3 linked regions of the Arabidopsis thaliana genome follow. The protein of the gene in region 2 interacts with the protein of the main gene of each other region in a pairwise test. Each region holds a gene or a part of one and is shown on either strand. Other genes may lie near its edges. The genes, in order: EER5, SAC3A and SAC3B.

The links.
Region 1: the proteins of SAC3A (region 2) and EER5 interact in binary tests that used the Arabidopsis thaliana proteins (3 or more experiments, as listed by UniProt).
Region 3: the proteins of SAC3A (region 2) and SAC3B interact in a two-hybrid assay, tested with the Arabidopsis thaliana proteins (one study listed by BioGRID).

The regions. Positions count from the first base shown.
Region 1 is NC_003071.7:8,464,769-8,471,424, reverse strand, and holds EER5 (proteasome family protein), read left to right. Parts: upstream 1-2,279; 5' UTR 2,280-2,355; coding exon 2,356-2,523; intron 2,524-3,127; coding exon 3,128-3,264; intron 3,265-3,353; exon of another isoform or gene 3,354-3,374; coding exon of another isoform or gene 3,375-3,382; coding exon 3,383-3,476; intron 3,477-3,582; coding exon 3,583-3,672; intron 3,673-3,771; coding exon 3,772-3,837; intron 3,838-3,924; coding exon 3,925-4,014; intron 4,015-4,103; coding exon 4,104-4,160; intron 4,161-4,260; coding exon 4,261-4,322; intron 4,323-4,404; coding exon 4,405-4,492; intron 4,493-4,605; coding exon 4,606-4,682; intron 4,683-5,017; coding exon 5,018-5,092; intron 5,093-5,164; coding exon 5,165-5,270; intron 5,271-5,369; coding exon 5,370-5,501; 3' UTR 5,502-5,735; downstream 5,736-6,656. Other genes in the region: CDA1 (cytidine deaminase 1), read left to right, coding at 1-827; AT2G19550 (alpha/beta-Hydrolases superfamily protein), read left to right, coding at 5,894-6,656. UniProt on the Arabidopsis thaliana protein: Involved in the regulation of ethylene response. Probable TREX-2 component required for nuclear RNA export.
Region 2 is NC_003071.7:16,421,229-16,429,894, forward strand, and holds the start of SAC3A (SAC3/GANP/Nin1/mts3/eIF-3 p25 family), read left to right. Parts: upstream 1-2,312; 5' UTR 2,313-2,677; intron 2,678-2,797; 5' UTR 2,798-2,814; coding exon 2,815-2,871; intron 2,872-3,537; coding exon 3,538-4,437; intron 4,438-4,738; coding exon 4,739-5,158; intron 5,159-5,304; coding exon 5,305-5,406; intron 5,407-5,665; coding exon 5,666-5,763; intron 5,764-5,886; coding exon 5,887-6,055; intron 6,056-6,215; coding exon 6,216-6,698; intron 6,699-6,779; coding exon 6,780-6,920; intron 6,921-7,047; coding exon 7,048-7,107; intron 7,108-7,475; coding exon 7,476-7,606; intron 7,607-7,628; exon of another isoform or gene 7,629-7,812; intron 7,813-7,888; coding exon 7,889-8,022; intron 8,023-8,117; coding exon 8,118-8,347; intron 8,348-8,447; coding exon 8,448-8,543; 3' UTR 8,544-8,666. Other genes in the region: JAL23 (jacalin-related lectin 23), read right to left, coding at 145-489. UniProt on the Arabidopsis thaliana protein: Component of the TREX-2 complex (transcription and export complex 2), a muliprotein complex that functions in docking export-competent ribonucleoprotein particles (mRNPs) to the nuclear entrance of the nuclear pore complex (nuclear basket).
Region 3 is NC_003074.8:1,903,795-1,909,538, reverse strand, and holds the start of SAC3B (SAC3/GANP/Nin1/mts3/eIF-3 p25 family), read left to right. Parts: upstream 1-2,241; coding exon 2,242-2,330; intron 2,331-2,625; coding exon 2,626-2,760; intron 2,761-2,912; coding exon 2,913-3,005; intron 3,006-3,176; coding exon 3,177-3,269; intron 3,270-3,488; coding exon 3,489-3,581; intron 3,582-3,841; exon of another isoform or gene 3,842-3,883; coding exon 3,884-4,048; intron 4,049-4,348; coding exon 4,349-4,471; intron 4,472-4,716; coding exon 4,717-4,929; intron 4,930-5,292; coding exon 5,293-5,511; intron 5,512-5,572; exon of another isoform or gene 5,573-5,600; coding exon 5,601-5,744. Other genes in the region: P4H2 (P4H), read right to left, coding at 1-159, 250-319, 452-627, 777-834, 1,294-1,398, 1,506-1,563, 1,659-1,795. UniProt on the Arabidopsis thaliana protein: Component of the TREX-2 complex (transcription and export complex 2), a muliprotein complex that functions in docking export-competent ribonucleoprotein particles (mRNPs) to the nuclear entrance of the nuclear pore complex (nuclear basket).

The sequences.
Region 1 (6,656 bases), 8.0 Mb from region 2:
TCCTCCCGTCGCTAGTCAAACCAGCACAATCCTACGCTCGAACTCCGATTTCGAAATTCAACGTCGCAGTCGTCGGACTCGGATCATCAGGTCGGATCTTCTTAGGCGTCAATGTCGAATTCCCAAATCTCCCTCTCCACCACTCAATCCACGCCGAACAGTTCCTCGTCACCAATCTCACACTCAACGGTGAACGTCATCTCAATTTCTTCGCCGTCTCCGCCGCACCATGTGGCCATTGCCGTCAATTCCTCCAAGAAATTCGCGACGCACCTGAAATCAAAATCCTTATCACCGATCCAAACAACTCCGCCGATTCCGATTCCGCCGCCGATTCAGACGGATTCTTACGTCTCGGAAGCTTCTTGCCACACAGATTCGGTCCCGACGATCTTCTCGGGAAAGATCATCCTCTTCTTCTCGAATCTCACGATAACCATCTCAAAATCTCAGATCTGGATTCGATTTGTAACGGAAACACCGATTCATCCGCCGATTTGAAACAAACGGCTTTAGCGGCGGCGAATAGATCGTACGCGCCGTATAGTTTATGTCCATCGGGAGTTTCGCTGGTGGATTGTGACGGGAAAGTGTACAGAGGTTGGTATATGGAATCGGCGGCGTATAATCCTAGTATGGGACCAGTACAGGCGGCGTTGGTTGATTATGTGGCTAATGGTGGTGGAGGAGGATACGAGAGGATCGTCGGAGCGGTTCTGGTGGAGAAAGAAGATGCGGTGGTGAGGCAAGAGCACACGGCGAGGTTGTTATTAGAGACTATATCGCCGAAATGCGAATTCAAAGTGTTTCATTGCTATGAAGCTTAGAGAATCATTTAATTATCCGAAAAATAAAGGAATTTTAAAAAAAAAGGAATAAAAAGAAAATGAGACTTTTTAATTCTTAAAAGTGTTGAAATTGACGGAAAAAAAAAAAGTGTTGAAATTGATGTGATGGATAACACATAGAGAATAAGAAAAGTTTATATTTTTAAATTTGTTAAAAATGTTTATTGTATTAAAAAATTAAATTTAATACAATTATTATGTTTATGGAGTATTGTTAAAAAAAAAATTGTTGATATTAAATTTTTCCATTTTTTGATATTTTTTTTTAATATCCCCTTTGAAAATTTAATTTCGTCTATAAGGGATGGATTATGTGGATTAGATCAAATCGGCCAAATTTTATAAAATTGACAAGGTTTTCAAAAGTCTCAAATCGAATCAATGATTTTTTTTTTTACATGTCAAGTTATGATGTTTCTTTTATGTACGCAAAAAGGCAAAAATAAATGAACGTAATGATGGCTTTACACATTGAATTTGTTGGAATAAAGGTTCCAAATACGAAGTATGAGAAAGTAGAGAATATAAGATGGTCCACATGCAACTCTTACTATGAGTGGTGAACAATGAATCTAAAGATTTTTAGATTAGTTTCAAATGGAATGCTTTTTAAATAAAATGATATATAAGAGCATATTTTAGTAGGAACCTTCATACCAAAAATAAAGTAGGAACCTTAAAAACCTCTCAAGTTTCTCGTTATCTTCAACTTTTAGCATTACACATAAATACTAATCCTGGATTGACTTCTCTCAACTCAAAATTTCTATTAATTGTGTGTTCAAGAATAAAATATATTGATAATTATATGATTAGCGTGATTTTTATTTATTTATTTATCATGTACATGTAGTAGAGGCCTTTGCTAACTATGAAAGAAGGGGAATATCAATGGGAATATATAGAAGTGTGAAAGTATAAATCACATTTGGAAACAAGTGATTTATTTGATCAGTTAATTACTTTTGACAAGTTGATTATATTCATTTCTTCGAGTTTTTGGCAACTTGTTGAGTTATATGCATGGTATAAATTGATTTCATGTCCCTTCAAGAAAGTTCCTCACGTCACCATCGGGCTAAGAAGACATATTTACATACAGATGTCAACATTACGGACGATTACATGAACTTAAAAAACCTTAAAGCAAATTAATCATGATCTATAAAACGATTATATGAACTTAAAAACTCTAAAAAAAATTCATGATCAGTACCACCGATTACAGGAACTTTAAAATCCTTCCAACACTAATGATATTTTCAAATCCTTTACAAATAAATTTTCAAACATTTTAATGATTGTATTTCATATGGGCCTTAAATGGCCCAACTAACATATGTCAATAAGTCTAATACCAGAAAAGACTAGTACGTAGTAACAATTTAGTTAATTACCAAACGCCGTCGTTTTTCTCAACTCCGTTATTTCCTTTTTTTTCCTGGCGACTTATTTGATTTCGTGTCTCTCTCAAAGAATAAGGAAGACGCAGACGAAGAAGGTGACAATGGCGTACGTTAGTATGGGTGAAGCTCACCGGAGAATCACTGAATACCTAAACCGATTCTGCGACGCCGTTTCGTACCAAGACTCTTCTACACTTTGCCGTCTCCTCTCTTTCTCTTCCAATTCTCCACCTCTTCTCTCACTCGCCGACGCACTCAACGTCTTCCAGGTACATATATTCTCTGTTAAATCGAGACCCATGATTCAAATTAGCAGCTTGGAGTATGTTCCTGTGATTAGTGGCATGATCCTTGTAAATTGGTAAAGTTAGGTTCGATTTCAAATCCAGGATGCTTCTGATATGTTCCGATTGGGTTCTCGTATGAATTGTGAACACTAGGAGCATGGTTTTTATGTTAGCAAAGTTTGTAACTTTTAGGTTAAATCGATTCAATGTAAGATCCTTAAGAGTATGATTTTCTAATTGGGTCCTCCTACTTCACCAATGAGTATGAATTTCTGAATTTAGGGCTCAAAACACTAGGAACATTATCTTTATGTTAGCAAAGTGTGTATCTTTTAGGTTCAATCAATGTCAATCTAGGATCCTCCTACTTCACTAATGAGTATGATTTTCCAATTGGGTCCTCCTGCTTCACCAATGAGTATGAATTTAGGCCGTGAAAGTGTCTCCTATTGAGTTGTTGTAGTGAACACTCTATGTCTATGTTTGAGTTTATGAGTATGGATTTTAGATTTAGGGTTTTTATTTATATGTAGAGAGCTGTGAAAGTGCTGAATCCTTTGAGTTTTCTTTTCTTTGACTGATACAGGATTCTAGCAGTTTGATTAGACAGTCTGATAGATTCTCTGAATATGGCGAGATTCTGGCTCATGTGTTTCGTTCTCTACAAAGTTACCGAGTTGGGAATCTAGTCGAAGCATACCTTGCTTTCGATAAGTTTGCCAAGTAAAGTCTTCTTGTTCCTCTCTGCTCCTCTATTGATGTCTAATATGATTTCAGGGTGATAAGCTTTTTTTTTTGTCTGTTCACAATGTCTGATATCTGATGGATTCTATATGTGCAGTGCATTTGTTCAGGAGTTTCGTAATTGGGAATCTGCTTGGGCATTGGAAGCTCTGTATGTAGTTTGTTATGAAATTCGAGTTCTTGCGGAAAAGGTAGTATCTCATTTGTATATCCCTTTTTCAAAATCTTAACCTTGTCTGGTTTCATTGTGTCGAGGAGTCAGTTCTGAAAGCATGATTTTTCCACATGGAATTGCAGGCTGATAAAGATTTAACTTCTAATGGAAAGTCTCCAGAGAAATTAAAAGCAGCTGGGTCTCTTCTCATGAAAGTTTTTGGAGTTCTTGCTGTAAGTTTTCCCTTTGATCTATCTATATATCTTCAGGAATATTAGTTTATATTTGTGTTCAATATTTTTTCCGGCTCCTTATGTAGTTTTAAACTATAGGGGAAAGGTCCAAAACGAGTCGGAGCATTATATGTGACTTGCCAATTGTTCAAGACCTACTTTAAGGTGATATGCTTTCTGGCAACAGTTTGATATTTATGATTTAACCATTAAATGGAGTACTAAACAGGTATCCCCAATTTTGTATTTTAGCTTGGAACCGTCAATCTTTGTCGAAGTGTAATAAGAAGTATCGAAACTGCTCGGATATTTGACTTTGAGGAGTTTCCAAGAAGAGATAAGGTCTGGCGCAGTTCTCTGCAAACAGTTTTAGTTTTTGGCCTCCTTATTCGGTTACTTATTATCTTCTGTTTATTCTTCGCAAACACCAGGTTACATACATGTATTATACCGGCCGATTAGAAGTCTTCAACGAAAATTTTCCTGCTGTGAGTCACTAAGAGATTTTTTCTTACCATCACAGTTCATTTCGTAGTGTCAATCCAAATATTGATAGTAACATTTAATCTCTTTTTTTGGATCTTGCAGGCTGATACAAAGCTATCATATGCCTTGCAAAATTGCAACCCCAAAAGAGAACGAAATATAAGGTCTGATTCTGGTTTTACTCTGTGATTACCTTACTCTTGCATTGCGTTGCTTAATCAGCTAATGTGGCCTTATGTGAATCAGGATGATATTAAAGTATTTGGTACCGGTGAAGCTTTCTTTAGGAATTATACCAAAAGATGAGCTCCTGCGAAATTATAATCTGCATGAGGTAACGACTTTTCTGTTGTTCTATAAAATTTTCTTCGAATCTATGTCAAAACTTATTTCGCATCTGCTGAGTGATATCATATCTCTCTTAATCCTATTTCTCTACGTGTCCAGTACACAAAGATTGTGCAAGCTCTGAGAAAGGGTGATCTAAGGCTTCTCCGGCATGCTCTTCAAGAACATGAAGATCGGTATGTATTTCTTTCGATATCTTGCTTTTCTCATCTAATCCAAATGATAGAGTCCTTGTGGATACTCTAGAGCATGAGTATTGGAATTAGTATAGGCTGCTTGTAGTGGATTATATAGCTCTGCTGACAGGTCAGTAACACCTGGTTCTTAGGTAGAGAGCTAACAGGTTAAAAGAAAATTGGGGCAGAAAGAGTTGGGATGTTCTGGATTTGTCTAGGGGTTAGGATTTGCAGTTGGGTCGAGAGTAGAGTTGTGCAAGTCTCTATATGATGAGTATTTTGATTCTATCACCGAACAACTTAATATCTCGATCTAATACTCTTCTTTTATACAGGTTCTTGAGGTCGGGTGTGTATCTTGTCTTGGAAAAGCTAGAGCTCCAAGTCTACCAGAGACTCATGAAGAAAATGTAAGCAAAGACAAGCTATGATACCATCCAAGATTCTTGAGTTTATAACTCTTATTATTATCAATGTTTCAGTTATATAAACCAGAAGCTGAGTGATCCAGCGAGAGCTCACCAGCTGAAGCTTGAAGGGATTGCCAAAGCACTAAGATGGCTAGATATGGACATGGATCTGGACGAGGTTTGTTCTACAATACCATCCCATTCATTGCTTTTGACTTCTTCTAAAATTGAAATCTTCTATAAACTCACAGTTGTCAAAATAATACTGTATTTGCAGGTGGAATGTATAATGACGATATTGATATACAAAAACCTTGTGAAAGGTTATTTAGCTCACAAGAGCAAAGTGGTAGTTCTAAGCAAGCAAGATCCTTTCCCTAAACTAAACGGGAAGCCTGTTAGCTCATAAGTCTTCACGTGTTATTTTTTTTGTTGTATCAACAAACACTTTTTATTTTCTAATTGTGTGTAAAATTCATTCAAACAAAAAACAAAAACTGTTTTTACAATAGAAATGTGACTTTAAAACTGTGGAGTTTTCACCATGGTTGAGGAGTCTACTTACGAGTAAGGTCCAAATTTCCACTGAATATCGACATGAGAAGAATAAGTGATTACGAGTTTTAGTTTAGCAAAAAAAAGAAAAAGTGATTACGAGTCTCATTCGTATCTCCACAGAAAAATGCAATTTGATCTTTGGCGAGAGTTCCAGTTCCATACTTCCATTACCTTATTCTTTTTACATCAATAGGGGGCCTCATTGTTTTCTTCTCTACGATTACCACCTGAAGCAAAAAGACGATGAAGCCAACGAAGATCGTGATTCCGAACCGCCGCAACGAGAAGCTCGTGGGTCTGCTTCACGAAACTGGATCAAAAGAAGTTGTGGTCTTATGCCATGGCTTTAGATCGGACAAGACCAACAAGATTCTCAAAAACGTGGCTACAGCTTTGGAGAAAGAAAAAATCAGCTCTTTTCGTTTCGATTTCTCTGGTAACGGAGATAGTGAAGGAACTTTCTATTATGGTAACTTCAACAGTGAAGCAGAGGATGATCTGCATTACGTTATTCAACACTTGTCCTCCTCTAACATCATGAACCGTCTAGTTCCTGTCATTCTTGGTCATAGTAAAGGTGGTGATGTCGTTCTTCTCTATGCTTCCAAGTTTCCCGATTATATCCGCAATGTCGTCAATATCTCTGGACGTTTTGATCTTAAGAATGATGTGCGTCTCGGAGATGGTTATATAGAAAAGATTAAGGAACAGGGGTTTATTGATGCTACAGAGGGCAAATCTTGTTTTCGTGTTACTCAAGAGTCTTTAATGGATAGGTTAAACACTGATATGCATCAAGCTTGTCTCAATATTGATAAACAATGCAAAGTTTTGACAGTTCATGGTTCGGATGATACCGTGGTACCTGGGGAAGATGCTAAGGAGTTTGCAAAGGTTATACCGAATCATAAGCTGGAGATTGTGGAAGGAGCTAATCATGGTTACACCAAACATCAGAAGGAATTGGTTTCCATAGCGGTGGAGTTTACCAAGACTGCGATTGTTG
Region 2 (8,666 bases):
ATCAAGAAACTAAAATTCACGAAAAGAACTTATAATTGATCGGAGCTTGTAGTATAATAGTTTGTTATAGTGTTGTAGTGTGAGTTTTAGATATTTGATGTAGAAAATTTGGAATGTGATGAGAGGGTAAATGAAGTGAAGAACCTCTTTGGGTTGTTGAATGATTTTCCCATATTCAGTTGTTACGACTTGGCCGTCTTCCTTCACATACTCGAATTTGACGTAAGTGATACGATTGATATCTTGTCCTACATACACTTTTCTTACACCCTCATATACATCATCGTCCCATTCACGCCCTCCTTCACCACCGTAGCCTGTCAACTTCCGGTAGATTTTCGCCATTTTGTATTTTTTCAAATACTGTAAAATGAATTTTTTAACTAAATTATCCAAATCCAAATAAAGTGTATATTCAAGCTTTATAATGTTTACTAAGCCGGGATCCCGGATCTGTGATTGGTGATACACTAGCCTATTGAATTGCATAGCAAGACATAGAGAGCAATGATCAACTAATGAGTACCTATTTACGAAACTAAAGTTGTAATTTGTATAAACAAATCAGAACTTGAGAGAGAGAGAAGAGAGAACCTGTAAATTCTTGATCTTATTCAGAATGAAATTAAGGAACTATCAACTATGTCTATTTATTGATACAATTTGGAACACGTTTTTGTTGATTCCAATAATTTAGTTATACTTGTAAGTTGTAACTAAATCATGATTGACCTTTTTCTGTTCCCTTTACTTTTCCTTCAAAAAGAATATGAGAAGGAAAACATTTTACAAGGCCAAACCAATCCCCATAATTTGTAATTTAAGTCATATTAGAAGAGAAATAGCCAAACTAACCCAAAATATATTAGAGATCTCAAGAGCATCCTGGCTGCATGTTATCATTCTGGACGATATGTCACGAGACGAGAGGTTCTAACAAATAAAGCAATAGATGATTTTGATAAGAGTCCAATAATACTAGCATATTACAAGTTGTCAGATGGAGACATCCATGATTGTAATGAACAGAGGAACAAAACAATTTTGTTTCACAAAGAAATTTTGTTATAATATTTTTCATATACTGTTTACATCGTCGTCCCATTCACGTCCTCCTTCATCACCGCAAAGTGCCAACTTCCGCTAGATCCTCATCCATTTTGAATCACCAAATTAATCCTTAAAAATGAAAAAAAAACAAACTAAACTATTTGTTAGTCCAAGTATGAATGCATAGCTTTATAATCATTTCCTAAGCTGGATATGTGATTGGTAATAAACTAATACTACCATGACAACATTGTACCCTATTCATATACATCGCAATAAAATACCAAAATTTTCCACTAATCGCAGATAGAGGAATCAACTAATGCATGGTAGGGTAAATATTTATAGTGTGATGTTGATAGCTCTATTATAGGTGTACTATATAAATCAATGACGATATAAGTATACTGTATAGTATTAAACAAGCCCCACACAACAAACTGAAATTGCATCCACATATTCATTTCTCACGTTTATTTCATCTATATATCCTACCCTACTTGCTCATAAACTTTCCTCTCTTGTCTTAAACTTTTAACGTTACAAAGTCACAGCCACAATATTCTATCCTCACCGATATAATAATCACCGCAACAGTATAATCTTACCTTGATATCTATTATATGGATTAAAACCCGATTTCTTACTAAACATTTGACACTTTCGCGTAGAACATAATCTGTACATACGAATTTCGAATTCATATATATATATATATATATATATATATATGTTGGATAATGATTGTTTTCTCGAATATTGTGTCGATTTATAGTGTAGTCATATTTTAGATAGCTACTCCGTTCATCACCAATAGCTTGTTTCTATGGTTAATTTCTTTCACTTATTAGATTTATCTCAACCAATCACTCAATTAGTTTCTAGAGATTGTTGTGATTGCTATACTACATGTTAAGCACTTTTTATTTTTGCCGGATTTCTTGGCCAAAAGGGTTGGCGATAGAAGCAACTACATTAAATTCATGACCTAAGCTAAATTACATGTAACGATATACAATACAAGATTTGTCTAAACTAAACATTGATTCAACCAAAACTTATATAGACTATATATTTAACCCAAATACTTATCATATAAATGTTTTCTTTTTTGACGTCAACACAACCGTAAACATTCGAAATCTTATATATTTAATTATTTACTATGCTTGTTATTTCATTTGTCGACGTTGTTTTTTTTTTTTGCATTCTTCAGATCCACTAAGAAAAGGCAAGTCCGAAAGATAATGGGCCCAATTAGTGGCTATATAAAAACCCGACCCGGAAAGACTAAACCTGATCCGCAACCGAACCGACCCGACGACGCTAGTATACCGTAAAAATTTGACAATCTTCGTCTCCGGCACAACAAAATTGTTCTTCTTCGGCAAGATTCCTCGATTTTCTCCGTGTTCTGTAATTTCCGATAGATTTTGACAACTCTCTTTGATTGTTTCCCTTTAGCTTTTTATTTTTATCTGCCTTTTTTTTTTTTGTTGTTGTTCCGGTTCTATTCGTTTCCTTTTGTTACCTTGTTTTTGGTTTTGATCTCAAATCCTGCTCTGCTCTACTATCTTCAATTCGATTCTTCATCCGAACGAAGAAGACACAAATTGGAGCTTCACTGGTACATATTCTTGACGCTTTATCTCTGATTTGCTATTTAGGGCTTTTCAATGAATGAATTTAGTTTTTCTGCTATGTTCATTGGGAAGTAAGTTCAATCGTATGTGTGATGATTTTTCAGGACGTTGATGATAAAGCATGAATCACGGAGGGAACACTCAGGCCGTAGCACCAATGGACCCTAATTCCATTGAGGTAATTAACAATCTCTTGCGCCTTCTCTTTCTTTTAAGCTTAAATTTTTCCAATTTGCAGATTTATTTAGTCTTTATATGCAAGTGAAATTTCGTGCATTGGTTCAATTTTTGCGAATTGAATTTGTTTATTTTAGTTTGCTCCAGATTTAACTTGGTAGATATGAAAGTTATGCTTGTTGTTAGTTCACCATTGTAATGGTTAGAGGAATTTTGCATGTCAGTATGTTTATGCAGCAGAAAAAAAGTGACTTTGATTCTAGGCTCCGTATGTGAACTCTTGGAACATTTCAGAAAATCAGTTTCTGCTTTAAGAATAGACCTATCATCAATTCTGTGGAGCCGTATGATTTTCACTAGTAATATGTTATGAATACAGCTCAATGATGCAAAGTACAACATTTTCTATTAGGTGTTAGGTATTGTTACGAAACTTAGCTGCTGATCACTTACTTCATGGAAATTTGCAGTTTTATTGTTTGATTCAATCAGATTGATTTGAGACTGTGGGAGGCTTTAGCATCCTAATGTAGTCTTTATCTGAGATGACATTTCTGTTTGTTGTTTGTCTATGTTTCTTTTCACTCTTCAACTTTTTGTTTATGTCTACTTGTTAAATGAAGATTCTCAGACCTTGGCCAGTACTAATGTTTTTTCTTTTATGCAGAATCGATATGGTGTTGATGGAAGCCAAACACAGAAATATTCATATCAATACTCAACTGGGTCTGAAAGTGCCCCATGGACAGGGCATTCTGTTGAAAATCAGGCTGTGGAGAATGGGAACTATTCAAATTCAAACTATTACCATCCACAGCCGACAGGGCCAGCCACAGGCAATGTGCAAGAGATACCGAATACTGTATCCTTCACTATCTCATCGACGTCCGGAACTGCAAATGTGGCACAAGATTATAGTGGATATACGCCATACCAGACCTCTTCTGACCCACACAACTATTCAAACACGGGATATTCCAATTACTACAGTGGCTATCAACAGCAACCTAGCCAGTCATATCCTCAGCCTGTAGGGGCTTATCAAAACACAGGTGCTCCTCAGCCTCTTTCCTCATTTCAGAATCCAGGATCTTATGCTGGGACTCCAAGTTATTCAGGAACTTACTACAATCCTGCTGATTATCAGACTGCTGGAGGTTACCAAAGTACGAACTATAACAACCAAACGGCTGGAAGTTACCCAAGTACAAATTACAGCAATCAGACTCCTGCTTCGAACCAGGGAAACTATACGGATTACACCTCAAACCCTTATCAAAATTATACTCCTGATGCTGCTAACACACATAGCTCTACTATTGCGACCACACCACCTGTACATTATCAACAGAACTACCAACAATGGACAGAATATTACAGCCAAACAGAAGTCCCCTGTGCCCCAGGCACAGAAAAGCTGTCTACCCCAACCACAAGTGCATATAGTCAGAGCTTTCCAGTTCCTGGTGTTACTAGTGAAATGCCTGCTTCAAATAGTCAGCCTGCCCCGTCTTATGTCCAACCTTGGAGGCCGGAAACTGACTCATCCCATCCACCTTCTCAACAGGTTCAGATATTACTTTCATGAGGGAGTAGAGTAAATTTGCGCCCTTAAGCTTATTTGAGTTTAGAATGCTTTTCTGCTTTCAGCTACTTGATAAAATGTGTGTTATTGTCCTTATAAATCAACTAAGTTGGGAAAAGAGTGATAGTAACTGACCTGTTAGCTACCAAGCAATACTGCATAGAGTCAATTCTTAAATGTTTTATTTGCAGACAGTTTAGACATGATCTCTGATTGCTTTCTTTCATGGGGGTCCTTTTTATTGAATACTAACTTAGTAATCATTTTATCATCATTCTCTCAGCCTGGTGCAGCTGTTAGTACATCTAATGATACTTACTGGATGCATCAAGCACCAAGTCTGCAAGCTCATCATCCTGTTCCACCTCAAAATAATTACCAGAGTCCTCTGGAGACAAAACCTTTATACGAGACTCCCTTTCAGGGTCATCAGAGAGCTACATATCCTCAAGAGATGAACTCCCAGTCTTCCTTTCACCAGGCACCGTTAGGCTATCGCCAGCCTACTCAGACAGCACCGTTAGTGGATTCACAAAGGGTAAGCAAAGTACAGATTCCAACTAACCCTAGAATTGCTTCAAACTTGCCATCAGGTTTTACCAAAATGGATAAAGATAGTACAGCAGCCAGTGCAGCCCAAGCACCTGCATATGTTAGTGTTTCAATGCCAAAGCCTAAAGACCATACCACTGCTATGTCTGACGTAAGAATCCTTTATTCAAATCTTGATGACCTAGCAAATGAAGTAGATATTAAATGTTGGCCACCATAAATTTGTGTGTTGAGTAATTGTTTCTTTCTCACAATTGAGTAATTGACATTGGAAACAAATAATGCCGATGCTTGTAGCCTGGAACCTTCCCAAAATCGCTTCGTGGGTTTGTTGAGAGGGCTTTTGCCCGCTGCAAAGATGATAAAGAAAAGGAATCTTGCGAGGTTGCCCTGAGGAAGGTAAATGTTAGTAGGAATTGTAGACGCTCTGGTTGTTGGACTATTGTAGCATGATAGATGATTTTAGTTACACACTCTGCTCATCTTAATATTATTGCAAAATTTGGATGAACTTCTTCAACTTGATCTTTCGAGTAGATTTGTAGTATGTTTAAGATAATTTCATGCCTTTTATGGAAGAAATCATATAGCAGTTATTTGAATACCATGTTAATTTATGGTTGCTTTGCATTGCTAATGCTTATTTTTGTATCTCTAGATTGTCAAAAAAGCAAAGGAGGATAATACTCTTTATACTCGAGATTGGGATACTGAGCCTCTCTCAACTGTCACGACCACAAATGTGACTAACTCTGAGTACGACCTTTTTTCCTCCATCCACTGCTGCCTGCATGATCTATAACTTTCGTTCTTCTATATGATATGTCTGGAACACTTACTTCATATGTTTTGCCCACTAAGTTTTACACTGTGCCATAGGTCAAGCTCCGCTCAGCTCTCTTCGTTACAAAATAAGAGCCCAACAAGACGACCCAAAAGTAGATGGGAGCCGTTGGTGGAAGGAAAACCTTTTGTGAAGCCAGCTTCAACTTTCAGCAGTGCTGTTAAATTTGGAGTTTGGAATCACCAAAATGAAAACAACAAAAAGGTTAACCAATCTCTTCCTTATTATTTATTAATGTCTGGTTGAAGGAATTGAAAAGAAGGCATTTAGCTGTTGGTTTAATGAGGCATTTAGCAGTTGGTCTAATGTTTTAGCTGTTAGAACTCGGTTTTTGCAGTCGTTCTGATAATCGGAAATTTTGCAGAGCTCTGAGAGTTTTCAAAAGGTGGATGCTGCCACTGGCTTCAAGCCCACTTATTCTGGGCAAAATTCTGCAAAAAAAAGTTTCCAGCGGCCTGTCAAGCGACAGCGTTTTTCTGGTGGTGCAGCTACTGCCATTGATGATGAGGCATCTAGTGATAGTGACAAGGATTTGACACCTTACTATTCCAGTGCAATGGCACTTGCTGGTTCTGCCGAGGAAAAGAAGCGACGTGATAGTCGTTCCAAGCGTTTTGAAAAAATTCAAGGCCACAGCCGAGGGAATGATCTTACAAAACCTAAGAATGCAAATGTTGGAAATTTGCATTCTAGAAGAGCCACTGCCTTGAGGCTTAGCAAAGTTTTTGATGAAAGTGGCAGCAGAGCTGTGGAAGACATTGACTGGGATGCACTAACTGTTAAAGGCACTTGCCAGGAAATTGAGAAACGTTATCTCCGTCTGACTTCTGCGCCAGATCCTGCCACCGTAAATATTACTATCTTATATTCTTATACCTAGTATTCTTTTTGACACCATGACTGATATTTTTGATTGACTTATTTTCAGGTAAGACCAGAGGATGTTTTGGAAAAAGCTCTGATAATGGTTCAGGATTCTCAAAAGAATTATCTTTTTAAATGTGATCAACTAAAGTCTATTCGCCAAGACCTCACAGTACAACGGATACACAATCATTTAACAGCTAAGGTACATAACTGACTTCCAATAATGTCGAGTGTTATTGCATGTAGGATTCATTTCCTGTTGGAACGTTTATCTTATTTACACCCAATTAGCATGTTTATAATGGTTCCATGTGCAATCTCAATTTCAGGTTTATGAAACACATGCTAGATTAGCTTTGGAGGCAGGGGATTTACCTGAGTATAATCAGGTTGGTACGCTAGCATAGATTGATAGATCAATCAGAATTTCTAGTTCAAATTCGGTATCAAGCACTTTTGTCTTTTTCGTAATTTAAAGAGTATCAACCACTGCTAGAATTTCACTGGTCTCTCATTTTCTAAAAAATAAAAAAGCAACATAAAGTGTTGAATCAGAGAGAAACTTTGCAAAAGGGAGCATAGTTCTGATGACTGGTTACTATGGATTGTGGCTTTTGTTTGCATTGATTCTGCAATATAATGATACCGTTCCATCAAGTCTTGTAAAATACATCTGTTGTCTATTCCTGAGGAGACTATAACTCTTAGGGTATGTATAGCCTTGCTAAATTGATTTCTATTTTTTTTTTTGTTACAGTGCCTGTCACAGTTAAAAACTCTTTATGCGGAAGGTGTAGAAGGATGCTCTCTGGAGTTTGCTGCGTACAGTCTACTCTATATTACTCTACACTCTAACAACAACCGAGAACTGCTATCATCCATGTCCAGGTTAGTAGTTGTAAAGTCCCATCTCTGGGCTCCTTTTAAGCATGATGCATTCATGGTTCATGGGAATTTTTTTTATAAATTAAGGTTTTGTAGAAATATCAGAATATGGTTTGCTACACAATTTCTTTGAGTTAGTAATGGAATTATTAATGTTCTGTCCACCTACCTGATAGTTGAGTTTTTGTAACATCTCTTCCTACCAGTGCAAAGAGGTTACTACTACCTCTTTGAATTGGGTTTGTATGCATGAGATTGAGTAATTTTGTGACCTCTGTTTTGAAGATTATCCGAAGAAGATAAGAAGGATGAAGCAGTTAGACATGCTCTTTCAGTTCGTGCAGCTGTCACATCAGGGAATTATGTTATGTTCTTCAGACTCTACAAGACTGCACCAAACATGAATAGTTGCCTCATGGGTAAGGGTCATATGATACATGAAAACTCTCTTGATATATTTAAACAATTGAATGAGTAGATATGTAAAGATATGGTGAAATTGTTATGTTTGCAGATCTCTATGTGGAGAAGATGCGTTACAAGGCTGTGAATTTTATGTCTCGTAGTTGTCGTCCTACAATCCCGGTCTCATACATAGTCCAAGTGTTGGGATTTACTGGTGCTGCAAGCGAAGGTACTGATGAAAAGGAGACCGATGGTATGGAGGACTGTTTGGAATGGCTAAAAACTCATGGTGCTAACATCATTACTGACAGCAACGGAGATATGCTTCTTGATACCAAGGTAAGTCTTCTTTTGCATTTGCCATATGTTTGTTATGAAACTTGTAGATCCTTATTTTCAAGATATGGATTGAGAACTGGTTGTGTTATTCCTTGTGCAGGCGACATCAACGAGTCTCTTCATGCCAGAACCCGAAGACGCAGTTGCTCATGGAGATCGAAATCTAGATGTCAATGATTTTTTTACACGTACATGATGAAATATTTTTAATGTTTGTTATAGTCTGATGGAAACAGAAAAAGCAAAATCGAAGTTCATCATATCTTTTGATCTTAAGGAGACCAATGAAGATAATCCAAGGCTCTCTGGCTTCATCATC
Region 3 (5,744 bases), on a different chromosome or scaffold from region 2:
GTGTCAATATCTTATCGAATGAGTCCACGTGGATCCACTTAGTAGCCGACCATTTCTCTCCTTCGATCACTGGACAACCTCCGTGAAGGCTAAAGGGGTCTGGGATTGCGTCTTGTTGGAGGTTGAAGAACAACAGAGCATTCCCTTTCTTCGGTTTCACTAATAACATTACCAACCAATATCAAACACAAACATTCTTAGAGATAACATGGAAAGAACAAGTCATGATTCCTTTTATATATAGCTCACCAGCGATTCCTTTCTTTGCACAATCAGAAAGATCGTCTTTATTCTCAGAAAGCGAGCGGCGAGAGAATTCCTGCGCAGAAATATTCATCATACAGAAAAAGAGTAAAGACCTATTTGTCCACGTATATAGAGAACCAATACAAGATTAGCAATTGTGGAAATGTAAGCGGAAATTGGTGGTATTGTCTGAAAAACAACAAACCTGTGCATCGGGGAAAACAGTTTCTCCACCCTTTGTGACATTGGACAGATACAAGAGAACCGTTGCTATGCGGTGTCCACCACGGGCAATGTTGACTTTGTCGTGGAAGTAGTCAAAGTGAGCATCATATTTCTGACCGTGCTCATATCTCAATACCTGAAGGTCTTCCCCGTTTTCTGTGACCACAAAGTGAAGAACTTAGGAAACAATAATATCTTCTGAAAAACCCTTTCAAGAAACTCAACAACAGTTAAGGTTCCTTGTCAATTGACATTGTGAAACAGAGAGACCACTATTGAAAAACCATTCAGATTGTTAAAGTTACCTTTTGGGAGAAATGTCCATGTTGAGAGCTTGTCCTCGATACCGGAAACAATAGGATCCTGTCATTAAACAAACGAAGCTTCACATTAAGATTGTAATCACACTGAGATATCTAAATTTCTCAAATCTGTTCCTAATAATCACTAAGTATCATTCATCATCCTTCATCCATACACAGAAGTAAATTTATGTCTAGCTATCACCCTAAAACCTTTTTAGTAGTAAACAACAATCACAAATCAACACAATTTGGGGTCAATTTACTAAGATCTCGACTTATCAACATCATTTTATCAAACTCTGATGACCAGTTCAATATGTGTGTGAACTTTTGGATTGAATTATTCTAAAATTTCTATTTCCATCAGATCTTGAGGGGTTTGACTTATCAGATCCATTAGTATCAGAAATCACATCAGAGATTCAGAGTTCTTGAGGTCGAGTGTCATAAATTAGAATCAAGATCAATTCCAATCAAGCCATTCAATGAGATCTGATGTGCCGAATTAAAATTGCACCTTTCCTTTGGAGATAAAAGTGCCGGAGCTGGTACGAACATCACTGACTTGACTCTCGCCATTATCGTTATCAGCAACCGCAGATCTCTGCAGATTCTCTTTCGCCTTTCCCCAAAAAAAAAAAAACCAAAATTAGATACTGAAACTAGCACATTTAAGCCAAAAAGTTTCCAAATTTGAGCTCAAACCCAAAGAGCAAAATTCGCACTCACAAGAGAGATTAGATGATCACATTCCAAGTCCGTCAAAAAACCTTCATACACAAATGCCCTGAAGAAACAGTCAATACACACAGTTGGAGGTTCAAAGTTTCCAAATTTGCTTCATTTCTCACTAAATAGACAAGAGAAAGAGTAAAATCAAACCTGGGCTTCGACGAAACCTGTTTGACTTTAGAAGGATTGATGATAGAACTTGGAGAACTAATCAGACAAGTGGAAGACTGAAGCAAGACGAGCAATATAGCGACGAACAACAACAATCCGAGCCGAGACATCGACATTATAGCAATCGTAGTAATTTCTTGGATCCAGATGATCGAGATCGAAAACTAGAGGATAATTTTATTTATTTTTTCTCGGAAAATAAAGAGGGAAAAAAAATGTCAACGGTCATGAAAAGTTGATGTTCTACCTAAAACAAGGAGGCTCAAGGGAGATGGTGACAACATGCGCACGTTCTTCTTGGTTGAACAATTATTCTTGTTCCTTGACCAAAGCCCATAATAAGCCTATTGTTACTTAAAAGGCCCAACATAAAATTCGGAAATAAAAACGACGTCGTTGGTTTTAAACGTAAAATAATCCTCGCCGGACGGAAGAGGCGTCACCAGAACAGAAAATTCAATTTGCTCCGGTTTCGACTTTAGCCGGCGACGTAATTAAACGAAGGTTGAAGGAGAATTAGAAGAGAGGCAGCGATAATCAAGTCAAGGAATTTTCTCAGAGAATGGCGTTTAGGCCTTTCGGGAAGGACTTAGGTCCGATGAGCTCTAAGCCAGCGCCGTTTACACCGTTCGGTGCTTCTTCAACCACTAGGTGTGCTCTTCATTCTCTATAGATGTATCTATGCTTCAATCGGACTTTTCTTCGAGTTTTGAGATTTTTAGGATTCATTTCACGCTATGGATCTATTATACTCAGAGATTTTTTTGAACTGTCAAATTTACATATATGCTATCGTTGTATTAAAGTGTTTAGGATCATGAGAATGAGAGAAGTATCTTGAATTTTCTATGATATTGTGTTCTATATCACTTAGGCAGTCGGGTTTTGCTTCTTCATCTTCCTTAGGAGAAGCTGCGAGTTGCTTTACTTTGCTTTTTGTTCTTAGATTGTACCTTTCTTTTTTATTCTTACACACTGCGAATGTTGGATTTGCTTGTAGTGATTCATCAATTCAACCACCGGCGTCTCAAAACCATTCAGCCTTTGCAGGACAATCTTTTGGACCTGGTGGAATTCGAAGGTTAGATTAACCTTAGCTCTACAGCTTTGATTTCTTTCTATGCGAGTATGTTAGGTTGTTTCTGAGCCTCCATAGGAAGAGCCTATTGTGCTACTTGTTGTAGTTTTCTTTCGTAAATTCGCTCAGTTTTCTTTCGTAACTTTGGCTTGTAGTGGTCCTTCAATTCAGCGAGCACCACCTCTGTCGGCTTCTCAAAACCCTCAGCTCTCTATAGGGAAACCTTACCGACCAGGTGGGGTTCAAAGGTTAGACATTCTTAATCGTATGGCTTGCTTTTATTCCTTTTCTCTTTCAGTTCTATGTGTCTAATGATGATGTTAGGTTGGTTACTTATTCAATTATTAATTTTTCAGTCTACTCTCGGGTTTTCTTCTTCTTTAGATTCTAGCCTAAGTTATTATGGTTTTTGCTTGCAGTGTTCCTCCAATTAATAGAATACCATCTCCGTCGGCTTTTCAAAATCCATCACCCTCCTCAGGACAACCTTACCAACCTGGTGGAATTCAAAGGTCAGATAACTTACTATTATGGCTCTCTTTTTTTTTTTTCACTCCTTATACCTGTAAAGGATCTTCGGGAACCCAAAACAGTGAAGATGGGATAAACCAAATTTTCTGTTTTCTTTGGCTTTGATTCTTTTTGTAAAACTTCTGCTTGAATCTTCTATATGTTGCACTAATTTTTACGCCGAGAAAGTTATAAGAACACTTTGATGCTATGTTTTTCAGGATCCCAGAACCTTTCAATGGAATAGCATGGGGTCCAGAAGCTTCACGTACAAGCCCCTCTGTGAGACCTTACCAATTTCCTGGAGTTCAGAGGTAAAAGTGTACGTGACATATTTTGACTAAGAAGAGTGTCATTACTCATATGCGGCTGTGTTAATCACACATCTCAAATGCTTTCAGTTTCTGCAATTGAAATTATAGCAGTAGGAAGAAAGTAGAGTGTGGCGGAGTGCTATAAGTTTCTCTGCCTAATACATAAGGGCTTACTATGGCAGCGGCTTTGAAGCTCTAAAGAGATCATTATCGCTGGATTTGGCTTATAGCCTTTAATAAGCAAGCTGCTGGATTTTTCTTAACGACTTAGCTGAATTTACCTGCTTCATTTTTCCTCACAGGCCTAATTTAAATCCTCAATATGGGCACGATGGATCAAGGAATTTCTTGAAAGATCATGGTGAACATAGTCGAGCCACGTCTCCACCTGCTACATCTCACATTCTTTCCAGAATGGGAACTGATGCTGTTGAGATTGGTCGATCACAAGATTCAAAAAGAAAAAGGTCGTTTATGCCATTTCCTTTAGATCAAGGTCATTTATGCCAGCAGGATCTTTCTGAAATAAACATTCTGTCTGTTTTGTATCCCTATCTTATCCTTAACCTTTTAACATCTGTCCTTGTGGGAGTTTACACCTTCCTTGTTCTGCATCATGTATCTTACTCTTTCAGATTTTATCAGTTTGTTGTGTGGCCTAGGTGGTATGAATGAGATGTCATAGACATGGCCATGGTGTTTACTGATATCCTGGTTTTTTTGATGTAACTAATATCGGTCTATAAAATTCTCAATTTTTGTTGCAGTCGGTCAGATATTCTTCCTGACCAGAATATGGGGTTTTCTCGAAGAAATCAATCGCCAGTATCAGGTTTTGAGAATGGAAACTTGGTAGATGGTTTTCAGCCACTTTCTAGCCGAACTTGGATGTGAGCTTTTTATCCTCTTGTCAGTGTCATAATGTTTTCGTTTCTCATTCTCTTTTCGCTGTTGGTTTTGATTGGTTTTAAAAAGGTCATAAAATATTTCATTTTGTGGTGTCTTTACTCTTTGTGGATAATGATTTGAACCATACCTGTGTCTTTGCTCCTTGATCTTTATACTAATTTATTGTTCTATCCTCTCACTAACTTTTGAAACTTATTTCCTGGAACCTTTTCTCATGTTTGTGTAGGCGCTCTCCGTCTTCTGCGGAGAATAATCCGGTGAGGTCGAGGAGCAATCCCAATCAGTTGATTCATCAAGAACAAACCGGAAACTCGTCATTCCCCTATGCACATGAAGTAGCTGAAATTCAGGAAGCTACTAGAAGAAAGTCTTCGGCTGTAGCACCTTCTGATAAACCCCTTGGAGATGACCCCATATTGTCTCAACATGACTCTCAAAGGTAGACAGCATGAATCTCATCGTACATTCTAAAGCTTATTATGTTTTATTCACCCACTCTGTGCCATACGTGTACGTATGAATGGCAGGAGAAATCACGATTATAGAATAGAGTTACAATCCTAAGAAACTTTATCGTTAGCAAATCGGCTTAAGAAACTTTATCTTTAGCAAATCGGCTTATGAGCGTATTCACCTTAAACTTAGATGGTTGCTTGGAAATTTTTCTGCTACTAGCCTTTGAAGTCATGCTTACTTCTCCTGCAGCTTTATCTTAATGCTATTGCAACAAATCTACTTTTCTCTATCTGGTTTGATGTGCCTTTGAGCTTCCTCCTAGTTAAGCATGCTGTTTCTGTGATAGGTTTTCGACATCTCCACCTACGTCAGGCACAAAGTCATATACACTTTCAAGAAGTTCAGATTCTCAATTTCCTGGACAGCCCTCCTCTGTAAATAGTTTCAATAATGCGCGTAAGACAAACAGTTCACCTGCAACAAAAAGGACGAGATCTCCACCTGTATATCCAATTGAAGAGGATATCCCGCGAAACTCTTTCCCTTCTCAAGATTGTACAGAAGGGTACAATATTTAATCACGCAGTATTGACTCTTTGCATTAATCTGTGGACCAGTTCTTAAAGTTTTCTAAACGGTGTGGATTTCTTATAGAGAAGAGCAAGCCAGGGCAAAGAGACTGGCCCGCTTCAAGGGTGAACTGGAGCCTATTGCAGACCGACCTGTTGATATTCAACTTACTAAATCACCTGTAAATAAAACTATGAAGCCTCTGGACAACAAACAAACATTCAATTC